Drosophila melanogaster: one gene and its partners. The protein of the gene in region 4 interacts with the protein of the main gene of each other region in a pairwise test. Each region holds a gene or a part of one and is shown on either strand. Other genes may lie near its edges.

What was found.
Region 1: the proteins of trbd (region 4) and RpL40 interact in a two-hybrid assay, tested with the Drosophila melanogaster proteins (one large-scale study listed by BioGRID).
Region 2: the proteins of trbd (region 4) and nito interact in a two-hybrid assay, tested with the Drosophila melanogaster proteins (one large-scale study listed by BioGRID).
Region 3: the proteins of trbd (region 4) and CG5089 interact in a two-hybrid assay, tested with the Drosophila melanogaster proteins (one large-scale study listed by BioGRID).

Annotation. Positions count from the first base shown.
Region 1 is NT_033779.5:4,225,768-4,229,094, reverse strand, and holds RpL40 (ribosomal protein L40), read right to left. Parts: upstream 1,397-3,327; 5' UTR 1,288-1,396; intron 1,084-1,287; 5' UTR 1,071-1,083; coding exon 684-1,070; 3' UTR 534-683; downstream 1-533. Other genes in the region: CG3702 (uncharacterized protein), read left to right, coding at 2,207-2,248, 2,328-3,327.
Region 2 is NT_033778.4:7,960,581-7,968,479, forward strand, and holds the start of nito (spenito), read left to right. Parts: upstream 1-1,882; 5' UTR 1,883-2,023; intron 2,024-2,188; 5' UTR 2,189-2,262; coding exon 2,263-2,813; intron 2,814-2,871; coding exon 2,872-4,702; 3' UTR 4,703-4,746; exon of another isoform or gene 4,747-6,160; intron 6,161-6,197; exon of another isoform or gene 6,198-6,258; coding exon of another isoform or gene 6,259-6,424; intron 6,425-6,478; coding exon of another isoform or gene 6,479-6,678; intron 6,679-6,738; coding exon of another isoform or gene 6,739-6,819; intron 6,820-7,045; coding exon of another isoform or gene 7,046-7,114; exon of another isoform or gene 7,115-7,137; intron 7,138-7,305; coding exon of another isoform or gene 7,306-7,428; exon of another isoform or gene 7,429-7,444; intron 7,445-7,548; exon of another isoform or gene 7,549-7,899. Other genes in the region: Septin5 (septin 5), read right to left, coding at 1-1,069; CG14763 (uncharacterized protein), read right to left, coding at 6,259-6,424, 6,479-6,678, 6,739-6,819, 7,306-7,428. UniProt on the Drosophila melanogaster protein: RNA-binding protein that acts as an associated component of the WMM complex, a complex that mediates N6-methyladenosine (m6A) methylation of mRNAs. M6a modification plays a role in the efficiency of mRNA splicing and is required for sex determination.
Region 3 is NT_033778.4:16,597,094-16,600,925, reverse strand, and holds CG5089 (uncharacterized protein), read right to left. Parts: upstream 2,179-3,832; 5' UTR 1,959-2,178; coding exon 648-1,958; 3' UTR 515-647; downstream 1-514. Other genes in the region: CG8303 (uncharacterized protein), read left to right, coding at 2,729-3,022.
Region 4 is NT_033777.3:9,705,493-9,712,836, forward strand, and holds trbd (trabid), read right to left. Parts: upstream 5,546-7,344; 5' UTR 4,989-5,545; intron 4,057-4,988; 5' UTR 4,024-4,056; coding exon 3,896-4,023; intron 3,833-3,895; coding exon 3,244-3,832; intron 3,184-3,243; coding exon 2,976-3,183; intron 2,920-2,975; coding exon 2,193-2,919; intron 2,128-2,192; coding exon 1,883-2,127; intron 1,827-1,882; coding exon 1,615-1,826; intron 1,549-1,614; coding exon 1,400-1,548; intron 1,335-1,399; coding exon 1,256-1,334; 3' UTR 504-1,255; downstream 1-503. Other genes in the region: dmt (dalmatian), read left to right, coding at 5,718-6,198, 6,258-7,344. UniProt on the Drosophila melanogaster protein: Positive regulator of the Wnt signaling pathway. Specifically cleaves 'Lys-63'-linked ubiquitin chains. May act by deubiquitinating APC protein, a negative regulator of Wnt-mediated transcription.

The DNA of each region.
Region 1 (3,327 bases), on a different chromosome or scaffold from region 4:
TTCTCGGTTTCCCGCTTGTTATCATGTCCTGCCTATCAGGCAGGCCCTTTGGGTCGTCACCAGCCAGTTCTTGGGTTATTAAGATATTCATAATAAGAGCCTCCGCGGGGCCAACGACCAAGTGCTAGCATGGATTAGAGCGCCAACAACCAGTTTACCAGTTGGCCACGGAAGCCGTTGCGCGCCTTAGTCGGCGGTCAATGAAACCAATTAACTGTACTCGAAGTGGACTTGGCTTAGCTTGGCCAAGTAGGTCTGCTCGACCATCCGCGGCGTACTAGCCAGCCAGTCCCCTTGTTTCCCTTGGGCAGAAGAGTAGACCGCAAGGGTCTGGTATCGCTGGCAGATGGAATATCAATTACCTGCTGCTGTCGCCCGCTTCCTGGTGGCGAGACAGAACCAGAAACAGAGCAGAAAAACTAACTGAGATCTCGGAGAGGCCAACTAATTGCAGTATAAGAGCTTCCTAAAACCGCAGAAACTCGTTCTTCGGAGACCACAAACGAAAACAGATGACAGGAAAACAGAAACATACACGGTGTAAATAGGCTGTGCCTTGGCAGCAAATGCAATACATTTCGATTAGATGTGGTTTCACAAAATGTACATATATTTACTTAGATGGTTAACCATGGTTTTGTCGATAGAAAGACCAGCCTGGACCGTCGACGGATGATCATAGTCTACTTCAACTTCTTCTTGGGGCGCAGGTTGTTGGTGTGTCCGCACTTCTTCTTGCGGCAGTTGGTGGCACGAGGATGCAGACGGGCGTAGCACTTGCGGCAGATCATCTTGTCGCAGTTGTACTTCTGGGCCAGAATCCTGAGCGAGGGCTCAATGATACCACCACGCAGGCGGAGCACCAAGTGCAGGGTGGACTCCTTCTGAATGTTGTAGTCGGACAGAGTGCGGCCATCCTCCAGCTGCTTGCCGGCGAAGATCAGACGCTGCTGATCTGGGGGAATGCCCTCCTTATCCTGGATCTTAGCCTTGACATTCTCGATGGTGTCAGAAGGCTCCACCTCCAAGGTGATGGTCTTGCCGGTGAGGGTTTTCACGAAGATCTGCATAATGGCGGCGTCACTGAAAGCAATATAAAACATAAATCAGTACCAAATCGTACGATTTCTTAGCGAACTTGTGCGTCCCAAAGAGCGGGCAAAGATTGGAGGTTAGGTCCGACTTGCTGGCATGTTTCGTTCGACAGAAACAGCTCCACCGGTCGACAAGCACCAGTGTCCATCTTTTTCATATCACAAATACGTCACTAAACAACAATATGTTTACATTCTGCCACGTTATTGCGATTTTTCGTTTATTTTTAATATATTTAATGGAAACTCACCAGAGGAAACGTGCAACCAAATGCTATTCAAAAGAAAAAGGGAAAAGAGAGTGTGGCCGCCGCCGAGCACTGCAAATATACCAAAATACTATTTTTTAAATACCAAAACATTCTAAATGGAACTGTAAAAAATATTCAGACACTCAAATTAATTAATGCAAAATATCTTTACCATTTGAACCGAGACCAACTTTACAATATCAACATATAGTTTTTCGTGTTTTTTTATAGCCCAACGCTACCTCACTGATAGCTAAGCTAATTCAAAATTATATTATTATGGCATGAAAATGCTATTTGCATTGTATACAAATAAATTGAAATCAAAACTTGTATATAGAATTATATTTTAGATAAGGTTCAAATATTACATATTACGCATATTTTTTTTTATTGAAAAACCGCCTAATCGATTTAAATTATATTTTTAATGAATTTATGAAATATTTTTTCAGATATTAAACCTTTTGAATTTATACAAAAATATTCAAGTTGCTGTCCATTTTACTAAGAACAATAATTGAATACTAGGTTGTATAAGTATAAGTAAGTAAGTAAGTATAAGTAAGTAAGGGATATACATTTAAGCCAACGATATTCTAAAAATGTGTATTGCTAAATATGTCACATATAATAAATAAATTTGTATTTGACTTAGTGAAAAAAGTATGTCTTTATAGTGAGAACACCGTGCTTTTCCATTCTGCGTCAAATCGATAGATTCTGAAAAATACCCCTTTCGATATCGAAGTTCTAATGGCTCGATAGGTCCTCAACACTTACCTATCGATGACAGTAGCACAAGTTGTGCGGAAAACGGGAAACTAAGGGAAAAGCGTGGAAAACCCTTGAGAACAGAGCATGTCGAAAGCAGGCGAAGATCAGCCCGCAGCAGAGGGTGCGGTAAGTATCTGAGAAACTTAAACCTTTCTCAACCCCAATCACCTGACAATAGCGACCTGGTTCTCATCGTTTTTTCTAGGTGATTGCGGGCAATGGTAACGCTGAGCTGGCCCAAAATGAAGGCCAGAATGAGCAACAACAACCCCCGCCGAATCAGCCCACCCGCATGGAGTCCTTCTTTGCGATGACCAAGTCCCTCATCCTGCGTGCCCTGATCATCTACTTTGTGAGCTCCTTTTTCCGACGACCTGCGCCCGATGCCGCCAGTCAAGGCAAAAGTGTCGCTAATGCGGGTCCCAAGATCACGGCCTGGAATTACTTCGAGAACGGCACGGACTTTGACCTGCACGTGTGGTTGTCGGAGAATCCCGATGTGGTTAACTTCCAGCAAAAGGCGAATCTCCTCTGGCTACAGAAGGACCTCACCTATGGCGATTGGACGTCGGGCGTCAACGGAGATGGCATTTACACGCACAGTTTGAAGCTTAAGACCAGCCAGCATCTGATGAACAATGGCAGTGTGTACCTACATGCCTTTGTCACGCGTACCGGCATGAGTCCCGATCCCAAAGCCCCGAATTACGCCACCAAAATGGGCCACCAGCAACATCAGCTGAACAAGTTCAAGAAGTTGCGTGTGAACCGCAACTACAACTTGCTGGCCAGCGAGAAGGAGAAGTTGGAGCACGAGCTCAAGCATGCGAATCTCAAGGATACCATCGTGTCTCACTGGCATCCTAATCTCACGGTCAATCTCGTAGTGGACCAAACTAACTGGGCCGAGGGATCTGTGCCGCCGCCACTGGATGACTACGTAAAGTTCGTAGACGGCGGTAAGACCTATCTGCCCATCCTGTTCGTCAACGACTACTGGAATCTTCAGCGGGAGTATCAACCCATTAATGAGACCACTCCCGAACTGGAGCTGCACCTCACTTTCCAGCCGCTGGGCATGTTCAAGTGGCAGCTGTATGCCGCCAAACAGATGAAGAACAAGTGGGCTGGCAATATGCTCGGTGAGCTGATGGCCGCCAGCCAGCCGGAGGAGAGTGACGAGGATCAGGACTCGCTGAAGGAGA
Region 2 (7,899 bases), on a different chromosome or scaffold from region 4:
TCTGCTTGACCCGCTGAACGAACATTTGGCGCACTTCCTCCTCCTTGGCCTGTAGGCAAGCCAGATGGTCGGATCGCTTCGACTCGAAGGTCTGTTGGAAGGAGACCGGCTGGTTGTTGCTGTCCACGTCCACAAAGCCCATTTGTTGTAGGCGCCGCTGGCGGAAGAGCTCATAGTGGCGTGTGTGAGTCTGTTCGCGCAGATCCTCCATGTTAGTGCGAATGAGCATCTCGCGCAGCTTCACAAAGTCGCAGTGCGCCTCGTTTTCTATGTGCACCGCTCCCCATGGATATTGGCGGGCACGAACCTGCTTTCCGGCCACCTTTACAAACTCCGTACTGCCAACAACGGCAAAGGGTAGATGGCCGTTCATCGCAGCATTTGTTTCGGACACGGTTTCGTCGTCCATGGGAAACTGGTATATGCTCACATTGTTCCGCCGTAGTTCGTCCATTATGCGTTCCTTAAACCCCGACAGCTCCGACTTGGAGATGGTGTCGGCCTTCGCGATCACGGGAATGATGTTCACCCTAGTGTCAAGCTGCTTCATGCACACCAAATCCATAGCTTTCAGACCATGGCCCGTGGGACAGATGAAGTACAGGCAGGCGTGAACGCGTCCATCATGAGCACTGGCCATCGCTCGCTGGATCTTGAGCTCTTCCTGCAAATACGCTTCAAACTGGCTGTCCACGTACTCCACCAAAGCCTTGTAGCTGTCCGCTTTATTAACCTGATCTCCGTATCCGATCGTGTCACAGACGGTCAGCTTCAGGCGGACGTTGCTCTCCTGCAGCTCGTATGTATTTGCCTTCAGCTTCACATTGGGCAGGTTGTGCGGGCTCGGTGTAGATCCAAAACTGGTATTGAACAGTGTGTCCATGAGAGTGGATTTCCCGAGAGCGGTCTCGCCGATGCATAGGATATTGAAGCTAAAGCCATTCTGGACGCTCTTGTTGACCAGCTGGTCCGGTAGGGTGTCGAACCCCACGTGGCCGCCGAGTTGAAGGAGCCTGGGGACTTTGGTTGCCACCTCCTGCGTCTTCTTTTCAGTCACTAAATGAACCATTTCGCCAGTGCTTTCGTTAGAATAATGTCACGACCCAGCGCAGGCGCCACTCTTTATACCCGGAATTCTCGTATGTGCAGCCTGTGTAAACCCTAGTCGTTTTTCTTAATAAGCCATTTGGATTTTCCTGCATCTGGTGGCGTACCGAGAATTAAACTGTATCTAAGAGTTTTCTACCTGTGATTCCTTTTACCTGCAGCCTTGACGATTTTAAATGCGGTGCCCGCCTCAGTTGTCTATCGAGACAGTTCTGCGCGACTATATCGATTAAAGCAGCTTCAACTAACATTTATCAATTGCAGTTAAACAACGATGGATTATTCGATCAAAATGAATTTTATTTATCAGAAAGATAGTCTTGCGACAGTACATTTTATATATGATTTCTGGACTATGACGCCACGGCTGGCTCGAATGAAGTCCCATCTGGACGTATTATATTCGATGACTTTTTCCAACATTTGTGGTCATATATCGGCAATAACACGGCAAATGTTAAGTCGGTCGCGATTTTGAACAGTAATGCCAACTTAAAGTTCTCCACCTCATAAAAAAATCCTTTACAAAACGTATATCGCGTTGTCTTAATCTCGCGTGTTTTAAAGATTTATGATCTTAAAACTTAAAAACTTTTATTGTTATATCTAAGTTCGCCGAAATATATTACAGAAATAGAAACCTATTAAAAACTACATTGAAATTATATATGATTATAACTATGTCATTATATAAAAATGAATCAAACGTTTGGCTATAAAATGGACAAATATGGCTCGATACCATGAACGGGACCATCAATGGCGATAGCAAACACGTATCGTTATCGAATACCGCAGTTAACTTTCGACGCATACAGAATTTGCAAAGCCGGAGGAAATTGAAGAATTTGTGGAATATCCGCGACTTAATAGTAAACTAGCACTTAAAAATAAACATCCAAAAAAGCCGGAAGTGGTAAGAACTCTAAAAACGATCTGAATTGCTCTGATTTTAGAATTTTTCCGCCTAACGCGATTTTCTTTGTTTGCGGGGCGCCGCCATTTTCTTTTTACCTGACCGCCGCTTGTCTTCTTGCATTTCGCCCGTACTTTCACAAAGCAAATCTCGAATTCTTCGCAGAATCCCCGGAACTAAATTGCCAGAAAGTTCTCAGGCAGCACACACCGAGTTAAAGCGCCCCGGAATAGCCGCCCATGAGTAGTCATCGAGACGGAGCCGGAGCCGATCGTATCACAATCAAAATTCACAACATGAAGCGTAGCGCCTCGCGCTCCCCGGGCCCGGCCTCCAGGAGCAGTTTGTCGCGCAACTCGCGAAGCATGGGTCGTGGGTACGACAACGGCAGCGGCGTGCCTGGCGATTCGCCGGAGCGCCTGTCGCCGGAGCGCATGCGACGTCGATTGGACCGCTCGCCGAGTCGTTATGGCTCCCCGCACCGGGAGCCCTACATGCGTGGTCCACCGCCTGCAGAGCGACCAGCTGGCTACAAGGTACTTTGCGTCAGTGCCCTGCCGCCAAAGGCTCCGGACGATTTTATCGAGGAGACACTGTACCGCGAGTACAAGAAGTTTGGCGATTTTAGCGTGCGACTGGCGCACGACTTGGATGAACGGGTTGCTTACGTTTGCTTCCGAACGCCTGAAGATGCACGCGAGGCGAAGCACCATAAGCCGCGCCTGATCATCTACGACAAGATGGCCATTGTGGAGCCGGTGTACAAGTCCACAACCAGACCGGAATATAGGTGGGATTTATTTTTGTATTTATTTTGTTAGCCTTGGCTAATCTAAGATGCTTTGCAGACCACGCGGTCACTCAATGTCCCCACCGGACTATGAACGTTACCACTACTCGAGGTCCCCTATGGGACAAGGCGTTCCTTTGGATCACCGTCGACCTCCGATTGATCCCTACGATCGGTACGGTCCTCCCCATATGCATCCGCACGCAGTCCATCCACGTGATTACCGCCCATTGCATCATGACTATCCTCATCCGCCACGCGGACCACCTTTGCATCGCGGCGGCCATCCGCATCACCTCCATGGCCATGCGCCGCCCCATCAGTATGCTCCAATGAGGCCATTGGCACCACGCCCACACGCTCCCTATGAAAAGCCTGAGAGCAAGAAGGACAAGTTCCCCAATTACTTGCACCATGTGCAGCCCGAGGATGATCCTCTTTCTACGCGCACACTGTTTGCAGGAAATCTGGAGGTTACCATCGCCGACGACGAACTGCGTCGCATCTTTGGCAAATACGGAGTGGTAGATGACATCGACATCAAGCGACCGCCGCCGGGTACGGGGAACGCGTTCGCGTTTGTACGTTACCAAAACCTGGATATGGCTCACCGAGCGAAGATCGAATTGTCTGGACAGTACATTGGCAAGTTTCAGTGCAAGATCGGATACGGGAAAGTGACTCCGGCAACTCGTATGTGGATCGGAGGCTTAGGTGCCTGGACTTCTGTCACTCAGCTGGAGCGAGAGTTTGATCGCTTCGGTGCGATCAAGAAGATTGAATACCAGAAGGGCGAGCCGTACGCTTATATTCAGTACGAGACAGTGGAGGCAGCCACGGCGGCGGTAAAGGAGATGCGAGGATTCCCATTGGGTGGACCGGAGCGTCGACTCCGCACGGACTTTGCCGAGTTGCCCGGCGCCACACCGGCAGCGCCTTTCAAGAGCTCAAAGCCGCCATATGATGAAAGTGCGTTGGAGTACAGACGTCCGGAATACGATCCGTATTACGAAGAGTCCGCCGCCTACGCTCCGCGCGGTGGCTATTCTCCGTATCCACCTAGGGGTGGCTACCGTGGACGTGGGGGATATCGCGGAAGAGGAAGAGGCATGTACCATTATCACAACGACGTGCATAGGCCGCCGCATCCTGGCTCCTTAGCAGGTTCCTCTTCTTCAGTTCCCCCTCCCGGCGGAGTGGAGGATGAGTGGCGACGCCCGCCAGGAGAATCGTACGACAGAGGAGCCCGCTCCAGCTCTCGGGAACCTGGTGTAGAACGCTCTCGTTCTAGATCCCCATTGAAGCGGGCTCGCTCTCCCGGATCTGATTCTGACACCTCGACTCGTCGGAACGACGCCCTTGCATCAGCCAGTACGGTTCCAGATGTGGCGCGCAAGTGCAGCACAGTGTGGACCGGAGCGCTAATCCTCAAGAGCTCACTGTTCCCAGCCAAGTTTCATTTGACGGACGGAGATACGGATATTGTGGAGTCGCTGATGCGCGATGAGGAGGGCAAGCACAACCTACGTATCACCCAGCGACTGCGTCTGGATCCGCCCAAGCTGGACGACGTGCAAAAACGTATTGCATCCTCATCGTCGCACGCCATTTTCATGGGTCTGGCAGGGTCCACAAACGACACCAATTGCGACGATGCCAGCGTGCAGACGCGACCACTAAGAAACTTGGTTTCCTATCTTAAGCAGAAGGAGGCGGCTGGCGTGATCTCGCTGCTTAACAAGGAGACGGAGGCAACTGGGGTGCTGTACGCCTTCCCCCCCTGCGACTTTTCCACAGAGCTGCTAAAGCGCACTTGTCACAGTCTGACGGAGGAGGGCCTGAAGGAGGATCACCTGGTGATTGTGGTGGTGCGCGGCGGAACGGCCTGAGCTGGAGCGGCTGGCGACGGTGGGGATGGGAGGACAAACTGTAGGTAATAACTAGCCACAGTGCTCAAGGAAAATCTCCGCCACATCTAATTATAGCATAGCAGCCGTAGTCGTATCTTAGCTCGTCCTCTCCCAAGTGGAGGACACCCGGGGGCCACATACATGCAAGGGACGTGTATGCGGCTCCTCCAAGCACCGCACACACGCACATACACACACATGATGCACACATACAGAGACAGAAGCAGAACCGAGGAGACTTCACCCACACCTCATGACCCAAAAACCCCGCATTAATTAACCATTAATTAACCTTCTTTTGCAGACAGGATCTCTCTTTTGGTTTTAGTTCAAGTTCTCGATGTGTTAGTGACAGTGAAGTTTATACATCCTTTTCATTATTGTGCTAAAAAGTTTGAAAAATCGTTCATGATTGTATCTAAAGCTACCCATACAAATTATCCAATTTTATTATGTTAAAGTGTACAACAGTATGAAAACAACACGAGTAAAAACAAAAATCAAATATTTTCCATAAAAAAAACTCCATTCGAGTGTCCGCATATGATCAACAACTAGTGCGAAATAATGTCGATGAAAAGTTTTTGTGTTCCTTAAAATTGATTTTCCATTTTGATTTGTGTTACGCTGATGATTTTGCCTTTGCCCTTTCGTTTGTGTTCGATGGCGAGAAGGCAGTGCGACCAAAAGTGCGCCCAGTAGTGGTCTGATTGTCCAGTTGGGTCCAAAATAAGATTGCAAAGTGGCTCCAGAAGTTGTTTGCAGTGCAATTTCCCAATCAGTGCGAAGTGCTTAACTCCAGCTGAGTTTCAGTTCCCCTCGATCTCCAAGAGGTTCTTTGGTGTTTCTGGCCGCTGGGTGCGTGAAAGTGGCTGGCGATTCCATATCGTGTTCCGATCCCCGATCAATATCCGTCTTCCATCCGAAGAGAGAACGTCGTGTAGCATTTGCTCCAAAATGTCTATGCTGTTTGATTTGGTTTGGCAATTGTTACATTGGTTTTCTTGTGGCTGCGCTCAACAGAAGAATAAGAATAAGAATAGTGTTTTGTTTATAATTTATGCAAGCGTTCATGCTACATTTGTTTCAGTGAGTTCAAGTGTCATTCCACGGACCGAGATCAGTTTATACACAATGATAATCCAATCCGAGCAGTTCACCCAGTGCATGTGCTGTGTATGCGTGTGTTCGCAAATCTATTATTTATATATATATATATATATCAATCGTAATATGTACACTCAAAGGTAGTAATAACGATCAAACGCAGTTGTCTTGCATCATTAGACGGATGTTCGAAAGTAATTTATGCTTCAACAAAATATTATATCAAACTATTGTACTGATATCCAAATAAACGACAACTATCGCATCCTACGTGTTAAAAATGTGAGTTGTGAGTTACAGTGCAAGCAAGTGTTTAAGAAAGTGAACCATCTGCTGACCAAAGAAGGTAACGAAATTAAGCACCATTGCTAGCATCAACATCAATTTTATTACCAAGTGGAACGCGCCAGGGCCCTGGAATCGCGTTCTTAATCGTAGTACAGGTAAAAGGTGGTGCAGACTGCAAAGTACGAGGGTCTCTCCACGCTGTAGGTCACAAATCCGTCTTTTTCAGCATCCCACAGGAAGTTGACCATGGAGTAGAGGCCCTGCATCAGGAACTCGCCCACAGTGACCAGCACTATGTAGCGATATCTGGGGCGAAACGGTGGTTAGTTAGACAAAAACTGACCGCCGAACCAAAGTCACCTGTCGTAGTTGTCGAGTTTGATGCGGTTCTTGATTTCCTCGCTCACTTGCGCGGCCATGTGGAGGGAATGCTTGGGATGGAACATGTACTCATCGTTGTAGTGTCGGTTCATCACCGCCTTTATGATGTTCTCCACGCGTTCCTTGTTGAGCGGATTCTTGGACTCCAGGCGGTAGGTGGGCATGAACCGCATGGTGGGCTAGGCATTAAGCAGATCTCAGGGTATAAACACAGCTAGCTGGGCATTTAACGGACTTACCTTGGCTGCCGGAGCACCCATCGGCAAGGAAACGCCCATATGGGACTTGGTCAGCGATCCGCGCTGGCTGCTTGCCGGCCTCTGCATGTCGATGAAATGGGAAACCGAATATGCATGTTAGTTAGGCCACAGCTAGAAGCACAGAGATACCCAAACCCCCAATAGAATCCCCACAAGAAATGGCGTGACTTCGTCAAATTTTAGACGAACCGTATGGTTCCCGTGTTCACATCCCGTTACAAGCATCAATTCATTAAAAAGACATCAATACCCCATTGTAACCATAATGGCAAAATCAATCGTATACCTTCTCACGCTCCTGGCCCAGATAAAGATTCACCAGCCCCGACCAGTTCTTCGCTGCAGCGGCTGCCATTCCTTGCGAATTAATAGAATCGAGTCGGCTCGAGTGCGTAGAGGTTAGCCATAAAACCACAAATGATTATGCCATTAAGTCATTCCCTGCCAGATTACCTGACGGCCTGTCGCCGTGGCAATTCGTGGCGTTTGGCTTTGTTGAATCAATAAAACCAGCCAAATTATGCGCCACTTGTCAGCCCAACTTACCGGCTTAGTGCCCTCGGCCGACTTTTCTTTCTTCTCCTTTTTGCCCTTGCCAGTTTCCGCCTCCTTGGCGGCGGTCTCTGGCACGACATCCTTGCTGCGCCGCTCTTCCGGTGAGTCGCCCATGATCACAATGTTTAACTTGAAATGCTTTTTAGAACTGAACTGGAGCAGAAATATACTAGCCAAGAAGACGAAAGAAAACGACAGCCTGCTAAGATTGTTAAGAAATTGAAAGATCAGCTTACAACAACAATTAGTTTACACTTTATTTGGTTTGCTATATGTGTGGGAATATGCTTCACATTTCGGGTCGGTCTTGCGTTTAAAGTATACATATGAAACATATACACACAGTCAGTAGACAATAATACACATCCATGTTACGATATTTACGTTATTACTGGGTGGTGGTGCTCTTGTGGCCACAAAACATCAATTACATCTATATACACATATTTAAATATAAATATACTCGATACGCTCGGATTCGGTTAAATACACACCTAATAAATTATCTATAAAAAGTAAAACAATAACAGTGCGAATTCTTGGCCACATTTCCTTGTCTTTGTCCTGTTGCTTCCACTTGTTTGA
Region 3 (3,832 bases), on a different chromosome or scaffold from region 4:
CCGATTGTGGCAGTGTGACAAGTTGAAAGTTTGGGGGTATTAATTAACGTAAGCTTAGCCACTCTAATCCACTTGGTGATTAAAGTAAAAGGTTAATGGGCCTTAAGTGTGGGAAAGTTGAAAGGGTTAATTAGCTCTCGAATTTTGTAGTTGGTTTTGTTCCCAGTGCTAGTCAACGTTTCAGTTTAGTGTTGGAATGTAGTGCTGGGATAAGTAAAGGTACATTCTATTACGAGTAATAGAAGTTATCTAAACTATTCCATAAATATGGGAACCCCTACTTTATCACGTCAAAAGCAGCAGTTACACGCGTCAACTTTAATTGCCATTACTAGTCGGAATTAATTACTTGACTTATAAAAAGCACGTTGCTCATTTGCTACATTTTGTCCATAACACTTACTACATCGATTGGTTTGCTGACTGTTGAAATATGTCGGTTTTTTGTAGATTCCCGAGTGGAATTTTCTTACTACAACCCCCAACTATGATTCACTGATTCGTTAATAGAATTCGTTCAACGTCAATTATATTAAATTTTACTATAATATCCCAGAACTCTGCCAGGAGCTCAGCAAGTATTCATTTTCAAATATTAACTCTGGATAAAAAGGCAATTCACAACGCTATAGTAAAATGAGCTCCATTTATGAGCTGCTGGCCCTTAAGAAGTTGCGCCAGGATTCGCCATTAGATTTGCGATGAGATCCCATGTAGGCACTGGGTCCGGCGATGGCGGGCGGCATATCCATCTGGCCGGAGTAATTGAATACGGGAGTAGAGGGACGGCTAGCGGGAGCACGGCTCTTGACGACCATTCGGAAACGGGGCGGTTCCACGGATCGACGCTCCTCCTTCCTCTTGGGCTTCTTCTCTTCCTCCTTCTTGGGCACCAGCCCTGGCATCTGAAGTGGTTGCCCGTTGTCCTGGATCGCGTCGAAGTCCTGTTGCCATAGAGCCACCTGTTTCATGGCAAACTTGTGGTACTGCTTATCGATGCCAGATGGTCGCCGCTTTGGTATCATCACTATAGTCTTGGCTTTCAGTGCATACACAGGTGGGGATATCTGATGGTAGCCGCGTCGTTGGTAATCCCTTGGATATGCAGGCGGAATGCCAACCACCTTCTTGCGCTTCAAATGTGGCTTCACCTCCTCTGTGGTCTCCGACTCCCGGGAGCATGGGCATGTGTGCCACGAATGCCAGTGCTCCGCCTCGCTCTCCTCCTGGCGCTTCCTCAACCAATCGGCAGTGGGACGATTGGAATCGTAAACCACTGTCTGGCTGTCTTGAGCTTCCTCTGAGCTCTCTGTATTGCGTCTTTGGCGCTGGTAGTCCTCCGATTCCCTTTGCATATCCTCCTCAATATACGTTTCCTTTCGCTTAACCGGACGATAGGTAATGCCGGAGGTATTAGTTTCCCTCCTAGATTCCGGACGATTTTGCCATCGACGGCGATTCTGTTCGATAATCGCCTCCTGACGCCTTTGGTGATCGGCCGGATCCTGTGAGATGGTACGCCGGCGCAATAAGTCCGGTTCTGCCTGACCTTTAGCGAAGTGACTATTGATTCTTCGTTGGGCCTGCTTGCGACGCTCTTCACGTTCCAATTCATATTTTTGTTGCTCGTGACGGATTTTGTTCTTGGCTATATAGAGGCGATCGTTGCAGTGGGACTCGTAGCCCAACTCATCCAAACGCTCGGGAAAATCGGGAGACCATTCGCTGTCACGCCAAGGAGACTCCCGGGGCACCGCGGACATCTCTTTCATCTTCTTGATGCCCTGGATTTGTGCTTGAGTCTGGTCGTCGAAGGTATATCGGTCTGCGTAGCGACGATTTTGGCTGGTAACTGCTGGTAATCGTCGCAAACTGGAAAATTGCCCCTTGGCTTTGTTACTAACAAACCGCCAAGAATGATTCAGGCTCGTTCGAGCCATTTTAAAAGTGGTATTCATCTTGCTATTGACTCGTCTTGGATTGAACTCCCTTTTCAGAACTAAAAATTTTGATGCGTGCACGAGAGGGTGTTGTCTGAAAATAAAACTCCGAACTGAATTTTTGAATTTTCAATTTTGTTAGCTACAAATTTTTAACTCCAAAAATTAAAGACCGAAATTTTGTGAACTGAACGCTTCGCAAACTGGGAATATTATGAGAACGCTGATGATTTTTTCCCAGGAAGTAAAAGGCAATGCTATCCCAGTTGAACTCAAAAAATAGAGGTGGTACTCATGACCTACTTGGCGTTTAACATTACGTTAATCCAATACTAGAAACAATCTTTGAAAATGCACAAAATATGTATTCATTAAAAGGTTTCCTGACCACATAAGCGGTTAACCTTTGAAGTAACTATCCATTAGGTTTCACACCCAAATGGGAAAGTGTGGAAAGCTTAAATATGCAGCATTTATCTTCGTTGGAGGTTGTCTGCCTTCCGCATCGCGCACTCCACTTCCATCGAATTTTGATAGCAGATTTATGATGCACTTCCGCCGCTGGCTAAACTTGACACACTGAGAAGTTTGTCTGGTTTTTTTTTTCGATTCGCTCTTCGATCGCCGGCTTTGGTTTCATAATCGCAGCGATCCAGTTGGACTAATGAACTTGAACTAACCGATGTCACGGCGCGTTTCCTTTTCTTATTTCTTTGCCACAGCTTGCCGCACCGTCTTCGAATCTCAGCAGCAAATTGGCGCCGCCGACGAATCTTGAGCCCTACACCATGGCTGTCATCACGGAACATGGCGGCACCACCTCCTCTCCCCCGGAAAACAACAATAGCATCGGAAACGGAAAACACCGGGTCAATGGCCATCAGTTGAGCACCTCGCTGACCATACCGGAGTTCTTTGCCCACAAGAACATCTTTGTCACCGGCGGCACTGGATTCCTGGGCACCGTTCTTATCGAGGCTCTGCTGGACACACATCCCGACATTGGAACCATCTACGTTTTGGTCCGGGGCAAGCGCAAGTTTGATCCGAACGAGCGGATTCGTCGCCTGCTCCAAAAGCCGGTAAGTCTGGTGGCATTTGTTTTAGATTGTTTTGACCGGTCGAAGGGGGGCGGCAACCGGCCACGCCCTCTGACACGACGCGCCGTCTGCAAGGTATATAATTAAAGCCAATTACGAGTCTCTTTATGGAGCGTTAATTTGTCAAAGTCGTAACCTGGCCGACCTCTTCCGCCGCGTTCCATGGGGCTTTCATTTTCTTTTCTTTTCATTTTTTTTTTTAACCACAAGTGTGCAATACTCTTTTGGGATTTTTGAAAATATTTAAATTGTTATTTACTATAATTACAAATTTTGAAATAACCTAATTATTATCTTATTTAATTGTTAAGCTCAAGCAATCTTTTCATAAAGCATTTTTTACAATCAAAATAAGTTTGTACAAATAATGCCTTGAAATCATATAAATTATATTTAGAGAGTGCTTAAATTTTCGGTCCAACAAAAAGTCTTTTGTTTTTTCCCCAACTTTTGTTAGGCCCTCTTCACAACTCGTTAATTTATTTTATTTTTAAACGCATTTTTAATGGCACAACAAAAAGAAGCTAACATCATATGTTGTTTGCTTTGAAAATTGCTTACTTACGAGTGTTGCCCAAAAAGGTAAAAGTACCGAAAAAAGCACTCATCGCTAACAATCATAATTTGTTGGCCATAATGTGGGCGTGTATGGTTAGCAAGCCAACCTCCGAACAGTAGTGAAATTAATTTTCAACATCCGTCTTTAGAGGAGAAAAAATAGGTCTCCAACTGGTTTAAAAATATCGAATACATATGTACAATATATAAAACTCTTATTCGCCGCTTCTGCAA
Region 4 (7,344 bases):
AAGTTTCGTATGGAAATAGCGGTTGGGTGTTAAACTTGGCTACAATTGGAAAGGTGGGGAGCTCGGCTGTGGAAGAGCATGTATTAGTGATGACACCGTTCGTGCCACTGTACCGTTCCCTATAAATTTGATAATCTATAAAAATAACAAGTAATTCCATAAATGATGCTGCTTATAATTTACTTTGTACTTTATAGAGACAGAAATAATAATGAACTACTTTTTTTTATCTATCTACTAGTAAAGTTAGTTTGGGCAATAAAGTAGGAAAGTCCATACTTTATTAAAATAAATTCAACTATAGTCATTTTGTTTCCGTTTAAATCTTTACTTAAAACTTTTATTTAAATAAGTGATTTTTTTTATGCGTTTTGCGTGTACATTTGCACAATAAGCTTTCTTAGAAGTTAATAATAATAATTGTAATAACATTACTAACAAAAATAATAATGAGATAAAATTCCATTTATAATACAATAAGAATAAAATTCATTATGTTATTGGCCCTTTGTTCAACTGTCTAGAACCATAGGATTTCTATATATGTTATATAATTATAGATATTATATTTATAGGCATGAATGTATAATGATTCATAATAATTCCAAAAAGTGTTTTAAAAACTATCAATAAACATTTCAATGACGCTTTCATTTTCACCCGCTGCATAATTATGTTGTGTGTTCGCCACCCATTTAAAATTTAATAGTACATTGAGATTTGCAATATTTTAAGTCCGGAGCTTGGGTATTCACATTAACTACCGCGTACATAGGTGTACAAATTCCACCGCTTAAATTCGCATCTGCCTTTCGTACACGTAATCATTTAATGGATTGTTTCACATGTGAGTGTAATTAAATCTACCAGTGTATAGCTTCAATTTCGTAGTAAATGTGGTCTATATTGCCTCGACGACCCAGTGTGAATAAATTTGACTAAAATCAACGAACGTTGACTTGGGAACGGATATGATATACATACGTCGATCAATCTATTTTCGTACGTTGCTACTTAACCTTTAGTTTGCTTTCAATTTAGTTACAACTACAACTTTCAACTGCTTGCATATATGCATATGTATTCTCTATAGTTTCCTTTAGCTAGCTGCGAGTGCAAGAGTGTAGGATCTGCACTTGTTATTCCTGTCTCAAAAATCTGCTAACGATCGCCAAAAGTACAAAATAAGGATATTGAATTCTATGCACAGCATCCTAATCAGAAGCTGGGTGACGGATGTGCCGCATCATATCCTCTACTCCTCATCCGAGTCGCCATCACTGGAGTAATGTGTGATTTGAGGGCGACGAATGAAAGGCGCCGTTATCACTTGTCTGAAAGAAAGTTTACAGGTTTAATTAGCATGTCTATGTCCGGAAGGAGAGCAAGTCATATTTACGCAATGCGGCGGTAGTGATTTAGCCACTCTTCCAGCATCTGGGCGACCAGCAAGGGACGCTTGCTTAGCTTTTGTTGCGCCACCAGTAGGCCTCCATCAGTTACGCACACGTCCAGCCATTGACGCATCATTGACTCCTCGTTGCCAACCTGCAGGCAAGGAACGGAAATGTCTAAGCTCACAATGTTCTACAGGATATTTGAATAAGCTCTCACCTCCGACTGTGTAAGGAAATGTATGGGCAAAAGTTTCAGCTCGCAGTCCATTAGCGGGAGATAGGTTACGTCCTCCACATCGTCACGCCGCCCATCGATGCGAGTGAATGGCTCCATCGGCACCAGGGCGCTGAAATGGCCACGTGTGTAGCCCAGTGCTATCGGTGACTTGGTGCAAAAGTTTTGATCCCAGAACAAAGGCAAGTAGACACCTAGAAATAAGGCAATCAAATAAATGCAATACAGCGACGTAAAAATTAATAGCTACCTTCGAAACGCGCGTATCCAATGTCCTCGCCCCGAAAACTCTTGACGTACTTCACGCCGTAAACGATAATCGGCCGACGAAGGATATGCGCCAGCGCAAAGATGTGCAGTTGCTCCAGGGACGAGCCGGGTTGGCCGGCCAATGACAGTAGTGTACTCCAGTCCTCCTCGAACTGAGAGTCCTCCAGCGTAAAGTGGAGCATCGAAGCCTGCAGCATCTCGTACTCTTTCCAGCGAGTAAAGAACCTACAATAAGAGTATCAAGACTATTAATAAGCTGACGGTTGTTAAAACAAATTCGTTTAACTTACACATGCCCGCACTGGTGCAGTGTGTCGGCGAGTGCCCGCCTAAGGATATTGTCACGATCGAAGACGCCCCAGGTGGCCTGCATGGCCGAGTCCAGCAGGCAGTCGCCAGCACTGCGGTTCCACAGTACAAACATCCGTGAGCTCAGGCGAGCAGTGATCTCCAGCGACCAATTCAAGGCCGGCGGCGGCGTCTCCAGCTGTTTCTGCGCGTCGCGGTCGAGCAGCTCATCGTAGAGCTGCTCCTGTATGGGTATCGGCAGCTCCTCAATCTCGGCGGGGAGGGCGAAGGTGGCGTGCTTTTGCACATAGTGGCAGGGTAGACCGGACTTGCGCAAGCGCAGGGTATTGGCAAAGTGGCGCCGGATATCGGCCGCCAAGTCGGGAGCCACGTAGGACGGCACACGCTTGATGCCCGGCCCCGAACCGGAGATCTGGTCCAGCAGCATCGGTAACATCTCCTCGCGATGAAAACGAATGGCCAGGTGGATCAGGGTGTGGCCCACGTCGAAGGCCGAGTTGCGGTTGAGGGCGGCAATCTCGGTGCTGGTCAACGAACGGGCTGGATTGCCACCGCAGGAGAGGTACGCCTCCACAGCGCTGTAGTTGTTCTCCACGACGCCCAGGCACGCATTCAGCCACTGCCAGTCCACCTGTCGTCGGATTTGACGCTGGCGGCGCTCCTGACGCTCTTGCAGCGTATCACAGTTGTTGATGGTTTCCGAAGAACCTGGAAAGTGAATATCAATTAGTCATACCCAGAGAAATCACATTAAAAACTCTTACCCAGTTGGTAAATGTGCTTCTTATTGAACGAGTTATTGACGCTGACGGTATCCACGTTTGGCTGCTGCAGTTGTTGCTGATTCTCCTCCTGACTGTTTAGGCTGGATGAGGCGTGCAAGTCGTTCTGCGACCCACTAATCTCCCGCTCCCTCGTCTTGCCGCACATGGAGCACTTGATGCTCCTCGGCCAGTTTTCGTAAGTGCAAGACTAAGGAAAATTCTAACTTTAAGTACATCTGAGCGAATTGGTTGGGATATGAAAACCTACGTTACACGCCCATTTGGAGACATAGCACTGCTTCTGCTGCTGCGGCGGGACGGCGGCGGAGGATGAGGATTCCCGCTGTTGCTGCGGCTGCAGCTGGAGCTGCATCTGCTGCTGTAGGACAGGCTGCCGGTGCTGGGACTGCGACTGGTTGTGAGACGCATTGGCGAGATTGTTCAGATGGGTCGCATCGTCTATGCCACGACTAAGGCTCAAACGATGGGAGGCCGTGGCGCCGATGAGCTGAACCGGCTTATTGGCCAGGTTCTCCTCCGAGCCGCTGATGCGAAGGGCTTGCAGCGCCTCTCCTGCACGATCCCCGTCCGCCTCGTTATCCATGTCCTTTTTGCCACGCTCTATCGCCTCGCCACCGCGCTTCGTGCAGCACTGAACGCAGCGCAGGCTCCGCGGCCAATTGAGATAGGTGCACACCTTGCAGGGCCACTTTTCGCTGTCCGCCACGTTGCTCTGCCGTGCCTGGCTCTGCGGCTGGAGCGAGTAGCACGTGGACGAAGGTGTGGGCGACATTACGGCTACTTCGACGGCAGCCGCCTCCTCCGCAACGGTGCAGCTCTCCTGGGCTGGACTCAGACTGCAAGAATTAGCAAGTATTAATTAGCAGAAGATTAGGTATAGATCGTCAGAGTTGTCATACCGGAAGATGTCCTCGTTGAGCAGCGGCTTGGACGCCTGGCACATGGTGCATTTCAGCGAGGATGGGTAGTTCTCGTAGGTGCAAGTTTCACATTTCCATTTCTGCGCATCGTCTTTGGTATCGCACATTGTTTATGCGCGGAGCCGGCCAATGCAGTTGATCTGCCAAGGAGAAAGGGATCATACGTTGAATATTTGATATGGGATACACGAGTGTCACCAAGTAAGGGGATCCCATAAAATATGCTTTTACTAGTCAAATCCACCTGGCTGCCTTTTTTACTTCAAAATAGTTTAATTTCTGAACAATTGTAAGCTTAGACAATCATTTTAGTCGAAGTTGGTTGAAGATACGAAGAGTTTGATCAATAATGTATAGCTATGTTGACTTTTGTCGGAAGTTAATGAGATGTTGCATTCAAAAGAAAAAGATTATCTAAAAACTAATATTGGATTTATAAGTACGCAGGGAAATCTACAATTTGGAGGACATTTCAATTTACCTTGACTTATTTTGCAAAGTATAAAGACTATATGCATGACTCGTTTTGGGGGACAACTATCTACCAATGAATGTATCTACTAAGCTACTATTCTTTGGATAAGCGAACCGAAAGGGTATCCCTAAAGTCGGTGAGCGGCGAATCCACCACTTCCGACTCGTTAATAAGGTCAAACAACGGTTAGCGAGGCAGAAGCAGTGTCCTTGACCCTGAGACATAATTCGCAGATACATCCACAGATATGTACATCTGCCTTGGCTCCATTTCCATTTCCCCCACTGGCGTCACAGTCAGCCTTCGGGTTCTCGTTGCCTGGGATTGGATTGGAATGAATTGGATAGGGTCTGGTTTTGGTAGTAGTGGTGGTATAGGTGGTAGTGGTTCAACTGCTGGGTCGGTTGCATTTATTTGTTGCCATTATAATTCGCCTATGTATGTATGGCATGTGTCGCGTGCGATGTACGTACGTATGTATGTACGCTGGTATGCCAGTTTTCGCGCTAGTTTCTTATTGGGATTCGCCCCGTGCCATCCCAACCATCCCACAACCGCCTCCACCCCCCTTCCCACATCGACGTCTTTACACAGTACCTGGCGCAGAAAATCGCAAGGCCTTTTGCAGCAGTCCCAGAAAACGCGAATGCGACTGCGACCACGACAGCGATTGGATTCGATTCGAATCGAGTCGATTTAAATATATAACACAATCACAATAGGGACCGCGAGTATAGCATTAGTATTATAGTAGCTATAAGGTGTAGTTGCTATAGTCGCCGTCGGCCACCCGCGCCCGCAGCAGCGACACTATGTCGACGTCGATCCAATATTGCCAGTAATGAGCGCTGGCAGCAGGCAGGAAAATCACAATTACAAAACAAAGACGATGAGAAAACTTTCACTCGATTTTCAGTTTGGGGGGTTTTCTTTCTTGCTTTCCTTCTCAATTTTCAGCTGTACTTGCTTGGGGCGCGTGAAACGAAACTGCCCGCACACATTCACGGCGACGAACACACGCACGGTGGATCGTAGTGCAAGGAATTTGGAATTTGGATTATTTGGAAACAGCTAATTATTTATTTTTTACATTATTGCGAGGCCAATCATCTGGTTCTCTGTCCGCCTATCGACAACTATCGGTGCTCCGTCCCTGGCGCTCAGTGTTGAAAAGTGTCTCGGTTAGCTGGTTAGTCAAGCTTCACACCTACTGGTGTTCAGTGGTTTTCATGGCAAGTCTTAGAGATCGGGGGATGGTCATACTAGTAAATAAAATGGCGGGAGCTGTACATGAATTTCATTTGGTAAACAAATTATATTCTTAAAATGGTAAGAACACGGCCGGTGCCGTGTGTTCCGTCGCCAGATGTGAACACCGCAACGAGACGCAATCCCGGGCGTCCCAAGAAACAGTCCATCGGAGCTGACTTAAGCACAACGATAAGCAAACCCGGGCGTCCCAAGAAGCTGTCCATCGGAGCTGATTTGACCACAATACGTAAACCCGGGCGTCCCAAGAAACTCGGAGCTGATTTGACCACGATAATACGAAAACCCGGGCGTCCCACGAAACTATCAAACAAACAATCTTTGACAGCCCTAAACGAGCCAGAGTGTCGCATAAGAAAATGCGTGGTAAAAATAAGGCGCATTAAGGTAAAAAACGGTGTCGTATCCGAAATTTCTCGAAATGATGCGCCTGATGTGGATGCCAGCACTTTTGAGCCGGCTCGCAACTCGACGATGTACATTCCTTCGAAGGTACAGAAATCAACGCAACCCCAAAATATCAAGGAAAATGTGGCAGGTAAGAGGCTCTCACCAGGCGGATGATGGACTTTTCTTGATAAGCACAACTACTTGCAGGTCCCGAAACATCGCCATGTCAGCAACGCATAAGGAGTAAAAGCCCTAGTGGACCGGCAGCTGAGATTTCGCCCAAAAAACCACCTCGTTTCTTCCACAGAGATCAGCCTTTAACCAGGACACGATCATCGGTGACCCGCAACGTTTTCGATTTTCTGTCGCAGTCGCAGATCGAAGATGACAGTGACAGGGAGGATCCGGCGGCAGACATAATTCAGCGTTTGGTTAAGGATGGAAAGGCCTGCGTAATGGTGCGGTCAAGAAAAATCGGCAAACCGAGAGCCAAAAGAACAGCAAAGAAGGTCCGACCTGTGGGTAATCGAAGAAAGGTTTCGACAAAAGACAATGAGCCTGAGCCAGTCAAGGTCGTTCCCAAGTCCATAGAACCGCGCCTTCAAAAGCCATCACGCTCCTTATCGACCATTTTCGAGCCCGAGGAAGATTATAGCAACGATTCGGAGCACGGATACGTGCAGCCCATCGAAGTGCCCGTCCAGGTACATGTGGAGCCGAGCACTTCTAAGCAAGCGCACGAAGGAGCCTACAGTAATTTGGCCCGATCCGTAATGCTTAACCAGACCCAGGCGCAAAATCCACTGCCATCTACAGACAGACGTCGAGAACTTATCAACATGGCGCGACAATTGGTTAGCACGCCGCTGAATCGCAGAGCTCCTCCGGTGACAGATGTTAGTGCCACCACCACTGCATTGTCGCCTATTGCCCACCAGTCTCCAAATGCAGTTAGGACCGCGGGAGGCAAATCCCCCTGGCGCGTTTCCGACGATTCACCATTGCCCAATACTTTCATGTTTGGTTTCAACAACTCCCAGATGCCATCGTACTCCAGTGATCATGTGCAACGTCGGCATGTCTATGTGCCAGATTCGCCGGTAGAGCATGCTGAGAACATCCCTCACGAGGAATCCATTTGTCCGCCTTTGCACGAGCAAAATCATGACTCAAATGCGAACGACTCGAATGAGGAGAACCGTCCCCCTCCCACAATTAGCAAATCGATGTCGATCAATGACCAGGAAAGCGAAGAGAATGCGGAGAACTTTGTGCACCTGCCGAATCCTCGGAG